Xenopus tropicalis: one gene and its partners. The protein of the gene in region 2 purifies or fractionates together with the protein of the main gene of each other region. This does not show direct contact. Links are inferred from orthologs where the notes say so. Each region holds a gene or a part of one and is shown on either strand. Other genes may lie near its edges.

Evidence for each region.
Region 1: the proteins of usp15 (region 2) and rnf40 purify together in Homo sapiens (affinity purification with mass spectrometry; 4 studies listed by BioGRID and IntAct, with this or other methods). This does not show direct contact. The link is inferred for Xenopus tropicalis from reciprocal best matches to the Homo sapiens genes USP15 and RNF40.
Region 3: the proteins of usp15 (region 2) and tut1 purify together in Homo sapiens (affinity purification with mass spectrometry; 4 studies listed by BioGRID and IntAct, with this or other methods). This does not show direct contact. The link is inferred for Xenopus tropicalis from reciprocal best matches to the Homo sapiens genes USP15 and TUT1.
Region 4: the proteins of usp15 (region 2) and glutamine synthetase purify together in Homo sapiens (affinity purification with mass spectrometry; 3 studies listed by BioGRID, with this or other methods). This does not show direct contact. The link is inferred for Xenopus tropicalis from reciprocal best matches to the Homo sapiens genes USP15 and GLUL.

What each region holds. Positions count from the first base shown.
Region 1 is NC_030685.2:13,703,959-13,707,937, reverse strand, and holds the start of rnf40 (E3 ubiquitin-protein ligase BRE1B), read left to right. Parts: upstream 1-1,167; 5' UTR 1,168-1,271; intron 1,272-3,979. Other genes in the region: ccdc189 (coiled-coil domain-containing protein 189), read right to left, coding at 711-742, 889-939.
Region 2 is NC_030679.2:62,759,280-62,763,221, reverse strand, and holds the start of usp15 (ubiquitin carboxyl-terminal hydrolase 15), read left to right. Parts: upstream 1-1,137; 5' UTR 1,138-1,216; coding exon 1,217-1,305; intron 1,306-3,942. UniProt on the Homo sapiens protein: Hydrolase that removes conjugated ubiquitin from target proteins and regulates various pathways such as the TGF-beta receptor signaling, NF-kappa-B and RNF41/NRDP1-PRKN pathways.
Region 3 is NC_030680.2:36,819,955-36,824,209, forward strand, and holds the start of tut1 (speckle targeted PIP5K1A-regulated poly(A) polymerase), read right to left. Parts: upstream 2,813-4,255; 5' UTR 2,737-2,812; coding exon 2,628-2,736; intron 1,153-2,627; coding exon 962-1,152; intron 184-961; exon of another isoform or gene 173-183; coding exon 1-172. UniProt on the Homo sapiens protein: Poly(A) polymerase that creates the 3'-poly(A) tail of specific pre-mRNAs. Localizes to nuclear speckles together with PIP5K1A and mediates polyadenylation of a select set of mRNAs, such as HMOX1.
Region 4 is NC_030680.2:100,273,112-100,277,311, reverse strand, and holds the start of glutamine synthetase, read right to left. Parts: upstream 2,813-4,200; 5' UTR 2,709-2,812; intron 1-2,708. UniProt on the Homo sapiens protein: Glutamine synthetase that catalyzes the ATP-dependent conversion of glutamate and ammonia to glutamine.

The DNA of each region.
Region 1 (3,979 bases), on a different chromosome or scaffold from region 2:
AGGGTGTGGGTGTGTAAGGGTGTGGGTGCTATCAGTAAGGAGGTGTATGGCTGAGAAGGGTGTAAGGGCAGGGAGGGGGTGTGAGGATGAAGCTGATTAAAGGGATACTGTAATGATTTTTATTGGGTACTTTTTCATTTCTAAATAAAACTGTTACATCAAATAATTCCCTCTAAACTTTTATTCTGGAACCAACAAATGTATTTGTAGCTGTAATATTGGTGTGTAGGCGCCATCTCAGTGCATTGTGCCTGAGTCTGAGCTTTCAGCCAGCGCTACACATTAGAACTGCTTTCAGCTAACCTATTGTTTCTCCTACTCCCATGTAACTGGAGGAGTCCCAAGCCGGACTTGGATTTCTTACTATTGAGTGCTATTCTGATACCTACTGGGAGCTGCTATCTTGCTCCCTTCCCATTGTTCTGCTGATCAGCTGCTGGGGGTGAGGGGGGGGGATATCACTCCAACTTGCAGCGCAGCAGTAAAGTGAGACTGAAGTTTATCAGAGCACAGGTCACATGGCTGTGGCACCCTGGGAAATGAAGAATATGGCTAGCCCCATGGGAAAAACAGATTACAATGCAGGATTCTGCCGGAGAAGCTCTATTAATTGATGGGGTTTTGGTCCCATTTTCCCCATAGCAGTATTGCTTTAAGGAGGAGGAAGAGGAGTAAGTGGGGGGGGGGGGGGGGGGGGGGGTGACTTTTACCAGAGGCAGATTTGTGGTTTTCTTCTTTTTATCTGAAATGACAAACAAAGGAAGCAGTCATAATTATATATATTATTATATATTACATTATATTTCTGTGTGTGTAAGTATATGTCATGCGTACTCAATCTAATTGAATGAGCTGTAAGCAAAGAGCTGATTGGTCTGACAGACTTACCGACAGTAGCACCTCGGTTCCGGGTCTCCGGTATCCGATCTCCCCGGACATTATTTTAACCTTTTCACTCTCCGCAGCGTCCCATCTCCAAGACGACCGGCCGCTGACCAATGGCCTTCCCTTTCGCCATAGACTCCACCCCTTCAAGAACTGGCAAATATCTTTAGGTACTACAGTCGGGCTCACGGATCACTGAGCCAATGAAAGAAGCGCTTTATGTGATTAGCAGCTCTCCGCGCCCATAGGATTTCCGCAGACTATTGGGGGGCGGGACCTGTCATTTGGCTTTCCTGTAGTGACGAAAGTCTTGACTGCGCGATTTGCGCATGTGTGAAGGGAGGTTGGTCACATCCGGGATTTCTGGGAGGAAGATGGCGGCGAGGGTAAGATGGGAGCAAATATAGGAATTGATAGAATGAAATAGGCAGGGGAATTAGTAGCTAATGCAGAATGGGAGTGAGGGGGGCAGAGAGACAGAGTCATAACTGAGGTAGCAGGGAGTCTGCTGAGCCCGGGCTGTGAGGGAGGCGCTATATAGGCTGATACTAGGGGCGGCAGCAGGGAAGGTAGGCTCTCTGTGGGACACTCACTCGCCTGTCCGTCTTATAGTCACAGAGATAAAATAAGGGGCATATTATAATGTGGAATAATCTAGTGAATATATATATACATCATCTCCCTGCAGCCCTCCGGCTGTTCATCTCCCTGCAGCCCTCCGGCTGTTCAACTCCCTGCAGCCCTCCGGCTGTTCAACTCCCTGCAGCCCTCCGGCTGTTCAACTCCCTGCAGCCCTCCGGCTGTTCAACTCCCTGCAGCCCTCCGGCTGTTCAACTCCCTGCAGCCCTCCGGCTGTTCAACTCCCTGCAGCCCTCCGGCTGTTCAACTCCCTGCAGCCCTCCGGCTGTTCAACTCCCTGCAGCCCTCCGGCTGTTCAACTCCCTGCAGCCCTCCGGCTGTTCAACTCCCTGCAGCCCTCCGGCTGTTCAACTCCCTGCAGCCCCCCGGCTGTTCAACTCCCTGCAGCCCTCCGGCTGTTCAACTCCCTGCAGCCCTCCGGCTGTTCAACTCCCTGCAGCCCTCCGGCTGTTCAACTCCCTGCAGCCCTCCGGCAGCTGCACATTGAGATGTAGTGTGAGAGGGAGGCAGAGGTATACATGGGCATATTGAGACATGCAGGGGAATACATGGGCAGGGGGGCAGATATAGATATGGAGAGATGCAGGGGAATACATGGGCAGGGGGGCAGATATAGATATGGAGAGATGCAGGGGAATATATGGGCAGGGGGGCAGATATGGAGAGATGCAGGGGAATACATGGGCAGGGGGGCAGATATAGATATGGAGAGATGCAGGGGAATACATGGGCAGGGGGGCTGCAGGGGAATACATGGGCAAGGGGGGCAGATATAGATATGGAGAGATGCAGGGGAATACATGGGCAGGGGGGCAGATATAGATATGGAGAGATGCAGGGGAATACATGGGCAAGGGGGCAGATATAGATATGGAGAGATGCAGGGGAATATACATGGGCAGGGAGGCAGATATAGATATGGAGAGATGCAGGGGAATACATGGGCAGGGGGGCAGATATAGATATGGAGAGATGCAGGGGAATACAGGGGCAGGGGGGCAGATATAGATATGGAGAGATGCAGGGGAATACATGGGCAGGGGGGCAGATATAGATATGGAGAGATGCAGGGGGAATATACATGGGCAGGGAGGCAGATATAGATATGGAGAGATGCAGGGGAATACATGGGCAGGGGGGCAGATATAGATATGGAGAGATGCAGGGGAATACAGGGGCAAGGGGGCAGATATAGATATGGAGAGATGCAGGGGAATACATGGGCAGGGGGGCAGATATAGATATGGAGAGATGCAGGGGAATACAGGGGCAGGGGGGCAGATATAGATATGGAGAGATGCAGGGGAATACAGGGGCAGGGAGGCAGATATAGATATGGAGAGATGCAGGGGAATACAGGGGCAGGGGGGCAGATATAGATATGGAGAGATGCAGGGGAATACAGGGGCAGGGAGGCAGATATAGATATGGAGAGATGCAGGGGAATACATGGGCAGGGGGGCAGATATAGATATGGAGAGATGCAGGGGAATACAGGGGCAGGAGGGCAGATATAGATATGGAGAGATGCAGGGGAATACATGGGCAGGGCAGGGAGGCAGATATAGATATGAAGCATAATACATAAGTAGAGAATGGAAATCAGATACAGGTGGGGATATGAAGACGGGTGAATACATGGTATGAGAAGGTAGGCAGGAATAAGTATGGAGAGATGCAGAGGAAAGTGAGAAGATGAGAGATTGTAGAGATGTAAGAGGGGTTCACGGGAGACAGCGAGGCAGAGAGTGATGGGCAAATAACTGGAAAAAGCAAAAAAATCAGAAATGTGGAGGAAGTGACAGAGGGGAGAAAGCTTTGGGATGGAGAGGAAAGAGGCGAAGAGATAGGGAGTCAGAGGGGGAGGAAGAGAGATTGAGGGGTGACAGATAGATGAAGAGGAGGCAGAAAGGGAGGCCAAAAGGTGAAGAAGGAGGCAGAGAAATGCAGACATGAATGGGGCAGTGATATTAATGAAGAGAAATTGAGAAGGAGACACAGGTGGAGAAGGAAGAAACACTGAGTGGGAGAGGGAGACAGAGGTGGAGAAGGAAGAAACACTGAGTGGGAGAGGGAGACAGAGGTGGAGAAGGAAGAAACACTGAGTGGGAGAGGGAGACAGAGGTGGAGAAGGAAGAAACACTGAGTGGGAGAGGGAGACAAGTGGAGAAGGGAGAAACACTGAGTGGGAGAGGGAGACAGGTGGAGAAGGGAGAAACACTGAGTGGGAGAGGGAGACAGAGGTGGAGAAGGAAGAAACACTGAGTGGGAGACAGGTGGAGAAGGGAGAAACACTGAGTGGGAGACAGGTGGAGAAGGGAGAAACACTGAGTGGGAGAGGGAGACAGGTGGAGAAGGGAGAAACACTGAGTGGGAGAGGGAGACAGGTGGAGAAGGGAGAAACACTGAGTGGGAGAGGGAGACAGGTGGAGAAGGGAGAAACACTGAGTGGGAG
Region 2 (3,942 bases):
ATTGGATAAGGCTAAAAGGAAGTCACTGAAGAGTGTGAAATACGGAAATTCACTTATTTAAATAGACATGAACGTTAAACACTTTGCAGTGGATTGTATTTATGTGTTTTCACAGAAAAGTGAAGTGAATTTGGTAGTGATTTGTTTCGGATACAAACACATTTGGAGGGGTGATTATCAATATTATATTACTGTATTACGCTATATATACATATACATATATATATTTTTTTTTTCTTTTATCCCATAAGACCTCATCTGGGAAGTCTGGACAGAGGAGGGCGCTCCAGAGTTAAGTATTATTGTTTAAACCAGGGGTCCCCAACCTTTCTTACGCGTGAGCCACAGTCAAATGTAAAAAGACTTGGAGAGCAACACAGGCATTATAAAAGTTTATGGAGGTGCCAAATAAGGGCTAAGATTGGCTATTAGGCAGCCTCTATGCACACTATCAGCTTACAAGAGGCTTTATTTGGTAGGAAATCTTCTTTTTATTCAACCAAAACTGCCCCCAAGTCAGGAATTCAAAATAACTACCTGGTTTGGGGGCACTAAGAGCAACATCCAAGGGGTTGGTGAGCAACATGTTGCCCCCGAGCCACTGGTTGGGGATCACTGGTTTAAACGGAAGCACAAGGTATCTGGAGTGGGCTATACATTTCATTCACACTAAAAAATCATTGTTTCATATTAATTAGACATCTGCCCACTCTAGCCTTTATAGATCACATTTTTGCCTAACTATATTGAAAACATCTTTTTGCAGTCGAAAACACTTTTTTTGCCCAGTCTATTCTACCCACTTTCATTTCTACACTGAACTGTTCCTTTAAAGCTCAAATGTCTGAATTATATTTGGCTGATTGGCAAATCCAAATCCCATATATCTAAGACTGTTTTAAACTAAAGGGGGAGAGCTGACCAAATTTTTGATGAAAAGGGGAATTTTGCTACATATCTTTCTTCACCCTATCTTCGTAATGTATTCGAATGAATCTAAAATATAAGAACACAAGGCAATGTATTACTAGAAGAGTATCATCCAGGTCTATAATAACTTGGTTTTCACTGTCTGCAGCACATCATTCAGCACCTCACACTGTGCCCACCCACTGTCCGACTTCTTCCAACAACACAGCCGGGAACGCGCTTTTTCCCTACTTCGCCTACGTGACGTCACTCCCAGAATGCAGCGCGTAGCTGTCAGTGGAGTAAGATGGCGGAGGGCGGAGTGGTGGATCTGGAGACTCAGAGATCCGAAGTGTCAGCCCTGCTGAAAACCCCTCTCAGAAGAGGAGACACCTGGTAAGCATGAGCGAGCACAGCGGGGAGATGTGGCAGGGGACGCGCTCTCACTTACTAAGCGACGGTGTGAGGGGAAAATGCAGGTTCCAGGCAGTGGGAAAGGTAACGAAGGAGCTTGACAGGGAAAACATCTGTATCATGCACAGCAGCAGCGCAGTGTGTGGGGACAGAGTACCGGGTTTGTCACCTGTTCATTGTCACTCATGTGCTGAGAGCTCGCTAGGGGCAGTCTGCCTCATTCCTAAGCATCTGCGGCCGGTTGGCCACACGGACTCCAAGTCCTGTACTTGTGTAGTTCAGGGGCCTTGGGACGCTTATGACTTCTCCCACAAGCCCACTCGCATACAGTCGCTGTGCCAGGGAGACCCGGCTGTTCTCTGCTTGCAACCCCTAATGTTTGGCCTTTCAAAATATGCTAGAGGGCCTACTTTTCATTGCTGTTATCTGTTTAATTCAGTTTTGAATATTACTGATAAAATATTGCACATAACATGGAACCCCCAAAATACAGTTTTAGATAATAAAAGAAAATGTTATTGTAAATAACTTACAAAAAAAAATCATTTTGATGGTTTTAAACTGCAGCGAAAGCATGTGTGTGCATTTATGCGCTCTGCATATTGCATGTTTAAAAAATGAAGATTGACGATATTCTTCACACAGAAACAAATTTTTCAAGACTATAAAAATGTAAATCAAAAATGAGCAACGGTATCCAGAAAACTTAACTGAGCTAGGATAAATCTGCCCCTACATATGGCTGTTAAATGTTTAGTTTGTTTCTGCTTTAATGATGGTTACCACTAGAAAAAAATCTGAAAATCTTTTCCGCAATTATTTAGCAATGGAAACAACGAGGATAAGGTTTGAGCAACTTGTAAATTCCTCTCATAGACTTGCATTAAAATGAATGCAGTGCTTATTTTTCTCAGACAACTTTGCATGTTACCCTGGTATAGCTGCAAGATTTGGCATAGGAAATAGTGGATTTCATCAGCTGAGAAAGCCAACTGAGGAAAGCTTGCAATGCGTTTATAAATAAGCAAATGTAGCAAAAATCCAGAAGGTCAGGTTATTTAATGGGATCAAATTAAAACTCCTGAGAAGAAAGGCATGAACCTTATTCAGACTATAATAAATTTCCCCAAATCATTGCATTTGATTCTGGCTCTTTGCCTTCAGTGCTGGTCACTGTGATGCTAACTGAAAATAACAGGCCCTTTCCCTGTGCACATTCTTATTTTTAGCTTCCTGGAATCTTGAGTTTCTGATGCTGAAAATGTAGAACAGTTGATGTCCTTAGTAGTTTGTTGATGACAAACCTGTGCCATATGGCTACAGATGGTGTACTGTGTAACAGGCATTGTGATAGATGTCATGTATCAGTGTTACTGTTTAGAACTGTACTTACCCCATTTAGTCCTTATCCACATTTTTCCTTAATTACTGTTTCTCAGATGAAGATTAATTTTTAGGTCTAGTCACATTATTGCTCATAAATGCATTCCTTTTGAGGTCACATACTGGAGGTGTGATTCAGCTAATAGTGTTAGATCAAATTTTATACTGCAGTATAGGTCTTTACCATTACCAAATACTATATATGTACTCACATGGAAATCTACAACAGTATTTTGCTAGGGTTGCATCTGATCAAGTCATTTTGAACTAATGTGGTACCAGACTAAAAGTAATTTGCACCTTCTATGATCTAAAGAATATACTTTAAGAATCTTCATACCATGTAAACATTACTTATAAATAATTTAGAAACCTAAAGTAACTTATTCCATCAGTTTACAAATTAGCATGGTTTCTCAGGGCCCCTTTTGAACCACATCACTGACAGCTGCCAGAATTTAAGTATTCATCCCATATCAAGTACCATGTCAGTTGCATTCTTTGTTTGAATCCCTATGATTTGTGCTGACTTGCAGTCTTTGACTACTGAGTGCATGTCACAAAGATTTAAACAGGAAACAAAATGATGCAGGCCAAGATGTTAGCATCTAACACCAGTACACAACTCTGCACTTCGCTATGTGCTACAGGAGTCACCAGCAGTTGTAACTTATGTGGTTTGGGTGGGGGGCCTGGGGGAAAGTATGATGGTGCTATAGTTAAAATAGTGTCAGCAATCTGGTTTTTAAAGGACATGTCAACTCCAAAAAATATTTTTTGCCTACTAAAAGAAAACATAATTCTAAGCAACTTTGCAATATACATTAATTACATATTTGTAATTGGTTTTGAGTTATTTGTATATATAACTGCTATTAACAGCAGTGTTTGTCTGTCCTTTTCTATTCTCTGCCCTGGTGGCTCTGGCGTTTGAAACAATGTAACCACAAGTCAGCAGATTGACAGACCTGTCTTACTGGAGGAGACTGGCATTTACAACATTGTTTAAAAAGTAACAACCAGGAGTTCAGCAAATGCTGCTTTCAATAGCAATTACATTTACAATGAACTTTTAAAGCACTACTAATTTTTAATAAATTGCTATTGGAAAGTTGCTTAGAATTAAGTTTTCTTTTATTAGGCATAAAATTATTGTCTATTGTGTCTACTAGTGGCTTGCTCATTTAGCTCAGTAGCTGTGATTCAGTCTGCCTGCTTTACTTGCCTTACTGTGTA
Region 3 (4,255 bases), on a different chromosome or scaffold from region 2:
CTTCAGGATCTGGAGGTTGCAATGTTCGGGGTGAGCCTCCCTTTTTCCTTTGAAACTCCTTCTTTTCTCGTGGTTTTACCCGCAAACGTTTTCCACTAAGCTTTATTTGAGGCTCTTCTAAGGCTGCACACATGCCATCCTTACTCTCAAACTCCACAATTGCATAAAGGCCCTGCAGGGAAACTAAGAGATAAATATAACACAACCAAGATTTTGAATTTTAAATTTTGCATTGCATTTCATTGTGACTGCTCGGGAGCTGTTTGCTAGGTCAGTTATATTGAATTGGCACCCAACATTTTATTTATATGGATGTGCACTCTCTGTCTTATTTACAAGCAAAGTTACAGAAGCCACCTGATTAACAGACATGTAAAGAACTATGCAAGGCCAACATCTGCTACATAAGGGGTCATTTTAGGAAACCCCTGGGCACAATTTCAAGAGCACTAAAGGGTGCATGAGTGGCCCTTTGTGCTCATCTACAGAGCACTTGCACCCAGGTGTGTTTTGCACTTTGCATGGAGCAACGGATCATAAGTCCAGTACTCCATGCAAACAGCAGTGCCAGAAGGTGATTCCCATTCTTGGCCTTACTGCCTCCTGCCACTCTGTACCTTGCATGTCTATGGGCAGATAGGAGGGATGCCTACGCGCCTCCACCCACCATTCACTAACACTTCGCTGAATAATGCAGACAGTGGTTTATTAGTGAAGAAAGCCACAGTTTCTGTGCTCCAATTTCACAATGCCCCATGCAGTGGGCAAAGTGTGCCCTTTTTTCCCTTTGCACACTGCGTGGGGCACTGTAAATGAGCCCTATTGTTTCAAGAATAAATTAAAAAGTTTCTTCAAATAAAATAATAGCTCTGAAGGGCATAGCTATGAAATAGTGTAACAAAATGAGAAGTTATACTAGGTAATATATTATAAGACTAGGTACTAGGAAGTCATTTCCTACCCGATCCTTATCCATCACTATGTTCCTGACAGGAGAAATTTTCTGAAAGACATCCCTCAGCTCCTCCTCAGATGTCTCACGTGGGAAATTACTGACATACACACTGCGCTCCTGCTGCTGATTGCGTTTGTCTCGCTCCTCACATAGCCGCACATGACGCCGGCCACTCAAGTGATCTGTTAAGCTTGGACCTAGAGAAATGAAGTCTCAGCTATTTAGGCTGCTGAAAAACTTTGCACAGCACAACTTTTAGCACAAACAGCAGTGAAAAAGGAGAGTAAGAACGAATGCCATTTGTTAGGGTGACCTTTACCAAACAGTAGCAGCAGATTATGGAATTTAAAGGGTTAGTTCAGCACTAATCACTAATTCTGAACAACTTTTAAATTGGTCTTTATTTTTTAATAGAGTTTTCTGCCTCTTTTCAGTTTACAATTGGGTCACTGAGTCCCGGCAGCCAAAAATCTGTTGCTCTGTGAGGGCTACAATTTTATTATTATTAGTTTTATTAATTATCATTCTGTTCAGTTCCTCTCCTAATCATATTCCAGTCTCTCATTTAAAACACTGCCTGGCTGCTAAGGTAATTTAGACTCAATCAGATATCTGTTGACGTTACATACTGGAGAGCTGCTGAACAAAAAGCAAAATAACCACAAAAAACACCACAAATAAAAACATAAAGACCAATTGCAAATTGTCTCAGGATGTGACGCTCTACATCAGACTAAAAGTTCATTTAAAGCAACTAACCCTTTCCAAGCAGGCTGTACTCTATCATGTCAGAGAGAAGCCACATGTGAAGTGGGTGATTAAAATCTTACAGATGTTATTCTGGTTATAATTGGAACATAATTCTACCACTTCAGATTGAGTTGCCTGCTTATTGGCCCCGAACTGTCCAGAGTGATAGTCTAGCCCACAAATATCTGATCAAGAGGGGCAAGTTTTTTGTTTTATATCCCTGTTGCATGCCCAGCTCAGCATTCAGAACCAGGACAGAAATGTAGGGGACCAGAGCCACCCTGGTCCCCAGGTCTAACACCTATAAAGGGCACCCATGTGGCCTGCTCATCTGCCTGTGGCCAAATAACATTAGCAAGTAGGCGACATGCACTGGGAGTTTACTACATAGGGACAATACACCCAAAGACTATGCCAGTGTGTGCCCTAAATGCCTTTCATTATATTTTGCTTAAAGTAGCCGTGTGTAGCCTGCATCTGTGTGAGGCGTGTGCCTGTAGCTGTGCAAAGCTTGGGTGCAAAGTCAGCCACATGTAAGTATGTTGCCCTTCCTTATTTACTGTTCTAAGCGCTGATAAATCAGCCCACCCATTCCTAACTAGTATTTTAGAGAATATAGTATAACTTTTGCGATATTATGTACACAAACACATTGTGTTCATGTGCCTAGGGCTTGATACACGTTTATACTTGTTTGCATGGAGGGGTATAAAGACCTTACTTTCACTGTAGGAAGGAGCAGAATGCTAAACAAAGCGCTAGTGTGGACTTTAAGCAGCGACTTTTGCAGCAGCTAAGCTACTACAGCGCCTGGGATGAGGATAAGCCAGCCAGGGCGCCACAGGTTGGCAATAGGAAAGTTTGCTAGGGAGAGAGGGAAAGGCGTATCCGAGCTACTATCTGCAATAACAGGAAAACCCACGGTTTGGGATGTTGACCCCGCACAGGAGGCACCGGAACCCTCCCCGCACAACGGACTGAACATCTTGCGGCAGCGGAACCACCGAAGAACTACTCTCCTCAGCCTCCATTTCACCATTAACCCGACACTTCCGGCGCAAAGCCAGTACGTCACAAATGGAAAGGAACGTTCCAGCGCGGGTAGGCGGGAGTTTCACCACTGAATATTCATACGCGCCTTCCTAATACATATTAATGAGTGGAAGAGACAAAGGAAGTGGTAGGTGAGGGGGCAGCGTGTGGTGGGGCCATAGGGCCTGGGGGAAGGGAGGGTTCTACCTATGTACTAATGCAACTCTAGCACATGTTATATATCCTTGCACCTAGCTATCTGGGGCTTCATTTCTCAAGATTCTATTTACAAGTCGATGTTACTGCTGCAGTTTTTTAGGAGCCTAATTGTCTATACTGACACGTACATTTAGGGCTGCCAACATGGGGTTGCTCCAGTCAGAGGCGCAATTCTGTGGGGGCGGGGTTTGGGTGAATCATGGGCGGGGCATTGTCATAATGGGTTGATCATGGAGTGGGGCCCAGGTAACTGGCGGGGTTGCCAACTGGCCATGAATGAGTGATGCTTGATGTCAATGCTATTAATAGGGAAGAAAGATAAATATATAAGAAGGCCCCATGGGGCTTGGTCTGAGTAGTATGGGGGCACCACAATTGCTGATGGCAATGTCTGGTTCTTTATAGTGTGATAGGAAAATAACACTGCCAACCCTTAAATATAATATAAGGCACACCTCCCAACATTTGAAAAACAAAAAGAGGGACAAGAAGATTTGGCGTGCGCAGCGTGGCAAATTTTTTTGACCACGCCCACTTTTGTGATCACGCCGCAATTAACACACCCCATTTTGTTCTTAAAATACTCCTTTTATATAGTTGAAATGGTGGGATCAGATGCAAATGTGCTATACCCTCATACTGTACTACCTAGGGAAAACAATATAGCAACTCCTACATATAAAATACAAATATAGAGAGAAGGCAGTCAGTTATGTATGTATGTATAACTTTATAAATAAAGCGCCACAAGGGTACGCAGTGCTGTACAATCTTACAATATACACAATTACACACAGGGAGGACAAATGTTATAATAAATATAAGTGAGATATAACTATCTACCAGTTTTGCCCCCCCACACAGGGGAGACAGTACCCCCCATACACAGTACCCCCCATACACAGTGCCCCCATACACAGAGCCCCCCAAACACAGTGCCCCCCAAACACAGTGCCCCTATACACAGAGCACCCCAAACACAGTGCCCCCAATACACAGTGCCCCCCCATACACAGTGCCCCCCCATACACAGAGCCCCCCCATACACAGTGCCCCCCAAACACAAAGCCCTCCAAACACAGAGCCCCCCATACACAGTGCCCCCCAATACACAGAGCCCCCCCATACACAGTGCCCCCATACACAGTGCCCCCCCATACACAGAGCCCCTCATACACAGAGCCCCTCATACACAGTGCCCCCCAATACACAGAGCCCCCCAATACACAGAGCCCCCCCATACACAGTGCCCCCCCCCATACACAGTGCCCCCCCATACACAGTGCCCCCCAATACACA
Region 4 (4,200 bases), on a different chromosome or scaffold from region 2:
GGAATGTTACCCTGCATTCTAGTGTACTGCATGTTATTCAATGTTGATGTGATTACACCAATATTTTGGTTTACAGGTTATGAATTTATTAAGCTGCGCTGATTGAAGTGAAACCCCCAAAGTCTCAACTTTGTTCTAAAGTTTATATTCCTTAATAATGTTAATCAGCTAATGGTAAATCAATGTTTATAAAGGTGTGTAAAAATGGCACTGAAACACACAACCATTTTAGGCTGATGGCACACATGGCACTTTTCGGGATTACATGCACCACTATGCACGTTTCCTAGGAGCCGCAGGAGGTGATGCTGTAAAGGCATGACCATTTACAAAGCTGTGTAATAAATTGTATATGTACAGTGGGGTGTAACTTTATGGTATAAAAACTAGTATTATTTTTAAAAAAGCCCCATAAAATCCAGTGGCGAGTGCCACCAATTTCCATACAACATTCTATATTGCTTTGCATGCCAGAAAGTGTTCTGCATTCTTGTTTTACTGATTTCAATATGATAAGCCAGGCCTGACATAATGGGCATTAGCTGGGCAATAAAGAATATACACACATTTATAAATGCCATAAGTAGCACTTTAATAGACAATTTGTGCAATCAGAATGTATAGTGCTAATTTATGCTTTATAGCTATAATGAAGATTTAAAAATACACCATTTATTTCATAACATAAAACAGCTTTATAAATAATTATGCACCAGTGTGTACATTAAAATCTTGTCTTCAAATCATGACTTGCCAAATGGATTTTTTTTCATTGCATAACCAAATGTCACCCCTGGCAACCTAGAGCTTTACAAGACAAAGCAAAGCAATCAGGAGAGATTTGCAGTTGCACCTACAGTACAGTTGAGAGATAGGCAGATGCACCGAGCGGAAAGGAATATGCACACATTGGTAGGATGGACAGAGATACCCAGAGGAAATCAGTAGCCAGGAAAGAAAGACAGGTGCACAGAACAAAGGGATATTAACTGAGGCACATATTGTGGCATCTGTTACTATGCTACATTGCACACATCCAGCAACACTGCGAAAGGCACACAGATGCACATACAGGCTGGGAGCTAATGGCTTACATAATAAACAGGCATCAGGGAACTCCAACATACAGCCATCCTACTGCTGTTGAATTACCCTTCCCAGCAACATCAATATCAAGTGGGCCATAGCAAATTCAGTTCAAAAACAACTGGAGAGCTTCATGGAAAAATCTGTATAGAATACTGGCAATTGATCTCACAAAACCTCAGATGGTAGTAACTGACTGCATAAGAACCACACTCAAAAATGTAGTAAACTGGATGCTGGATGTACTAAAAAAAATAAAGGATTCTGAAATCAAACTTAATATCACCTTAGTTTAATACATAGCTAGTATAAATAAACAAGGATATCTGTAGTCTTTCATTTTATGGCCCATAGGGGGCAGTGTCTCATTTGAGTCTAAGGGTCTTAGAAGGAATAGTACCACAGTTTCAACACATATTAATAATCTTAAATATTTAAATAAATATGGATTTCTCTGGGAAATAGCTTACTGAATATTACCAGGAAAGTAAAATAAAAAGTTATTATAAATACAATACTACTATATCTGCTTGTGTACTGCACTATTTTAATCCCTTTACTTTCAATGCTTCTGGAAAAGTTTAAAATCTACCTTTAATTAATTAAAATTAAATGTTGTTTTTTATTGCTCTGGAAAGGAATCTCTGCTGTTGGTGGCTTTTTGGTGGAAAAGGGGAAGGCAGCCACTGTACCTTAAGCTAGCAGGCAGTAAGGCTATGGGATGGAAAAAGTAGGTTTGATAATAAAGGCATATACTGTACCATAAGCAAACAGGCAATACAGACTATGGGATGGAAAGGGTAGGTTTGATAATAAAGGCATATACTGTACCATAAGCAAACAGGCAGTAAGGCTATGGGATGGAAAGGGTAGGTTTGATAATAAAGGGATACACTGTACCATAAGCAAACAGGCAATACAGGCTATGGGATGGAAAGGGTAGGTTTGATAATAAAGGCATATACTGTACCATAAGCAAACAGGCAATACAGGCTATGGGATGGAAAGGGTAGGTTTGATAAAAAAGGGATACACTGTACCATAAGCAAACAGGCAATACAGGCTATGGGATGGAAAGGGTAGGTTTGATAATAAAGGCATATACTGTACCATAAGCAAACAGGCAATACAGTCTATGGGATGGAAAGGGTGGGTAGGAATGTAGGGGGAGCCACTATACTACAATCACACAGGCAATAAAGACTATACAATGGAAAGGGATGGTACAAAAGGAAGGCAATTAATCCCTGTACTATACATACAAGTCAGTAATAAAGATTATAAAAGCTTAAAAATGAAAAGTTATGGTACAAGGCTGCTACTATGCCAACAACAAGCAGGTTATGGCAGCTTCAGCACTCCAGTTATGCACTTTATGCACAGTTGCCATTTGCTGTTGTAGATAGAAGTGTCCCATTAAAGGTGAGGGGTGATGGAGACCCACTCCAAACAGCAAGGGGCCCATATTGTGGTCCTGGCCAATAGCCCAAGAATCCCTGTGTTATGGCATGGAAGGGCTGATATAAAGGCAGCAACAATAGGCAAAGAGAAAAGACCTTGGAAATGGAGAGGATAGGCAGGGCTGGCAAGGGGGGACTGATAGAGACTGAGGCTGCAGGTACCTGGACGGCAGGAAGATAGAGGTGAGGATGCTGGTAATGCAGAGGGCTGTTGAGTTGCAGGATTCTGTACTATAGCTCGGGTTCTCCCATTCTCGCCTTTGCTCAAGCGTCACCTTCACATACATTTATTAAGCAGCGAGTGCCGGCCCACAAGGCAGCCATTGGCTCGGCACAAACGTGATCGGTACATGCCATCATAGACACGCCCTCATGGCAGGTTGCCATTGGATATGCGGATAGATGGGCGGAGCCATAGCGCCAGGGTACCCCCCCATGCTCTACACCCCCGGCACTGAGAAAAACAACTGTTGGGAGGGGGGTGAAAATTGTGGAGACTGCGATAGGAGAGAAAATGGAACAGATAATAGGGAAGGAAAAGCTAGGAAACCATCAGTTTTGCAGAGGTTCTGGGGAAGCCGAGCCATGTACAGAACGAGGGAAAAGAGGACAGAGCTCTACGGTGAAAATGAGACAGTCCAGACGGACAGGATTCAGGGAGGGGGCATCTACACTAGTCTTCACACGTGTGATTTCTCCTGGCCAGTGCGCAAACTACAGCCTCAGCCTTTCCTACACAGCCTCAGCCTTTCCTTTCTGTCGCGGCTTAAAAAAAATTCTCCCCCGCTGTCAGTTTCTTTTCTGTTCCCTTGTTTCCTTAGTACAGTCCCCCCCCCCCCCCCCCCCCCCAACCTATCGCGGTTTCCCTGTAGCGCTCAGTCCTGTCTGTAGGTGGAAGCAACCATGCGTGAAGCCATTAGGGGGCGCCCATGTTGGTTACTTCCAGACTCTTGTGTTATAACAGGGGGCCATGCCAATCCGTATAATGTGCTTAATGATGTGTATAGCCCAGATAGCGTTATGCACCTCAGCTTCATATCTTTTCAGTTTCACTCCATAAGGAGCAATCCTGGATTTTACTCTTAATTTCCTTACAAATGGGTGGCAAGGAGTTAATGGATTACAGTTTAGTGTTATTGAGATTCAGGTCTCGTCCTCACACAGAAACATATAGTCACTGGGCTCCGTTGAAATACAAGTGTTTAACTCTTGCCTGACAGGTGAACACCAGGTTACAGGGCTCATCAGGGTAATACCCCTTAATCATGTATCAAAGTTTTATCATTTCAAGCACAATATTAAAGTGTAAAGTACATTTTTACACACAGTCTAAAGTGGTCACAAAACAAAAACTGTAGTACCGTGTTAGCCAGTGTCAAAAATAATAATAAAAAAACAACAAAACACAAATACAAGAGTATTGTAGAAATGATACCTATATTGGCTAACAATAAAAATACATTGCAAGCTTTTGGAGCTCTAAGGCCCCTTCATCAGGCAAAATACAAATGAGAACTGAAATGGCACAATATTTATACTGATAGATCAGAGAGAAGTGTTTACAAGCAATAAATTAGGAAGTTACAGATAGATAGAGATAACTTGTGAAGATAGTGAAAGTAATTAAGGTTTATTAGGGTGGGTTGTAAATAGT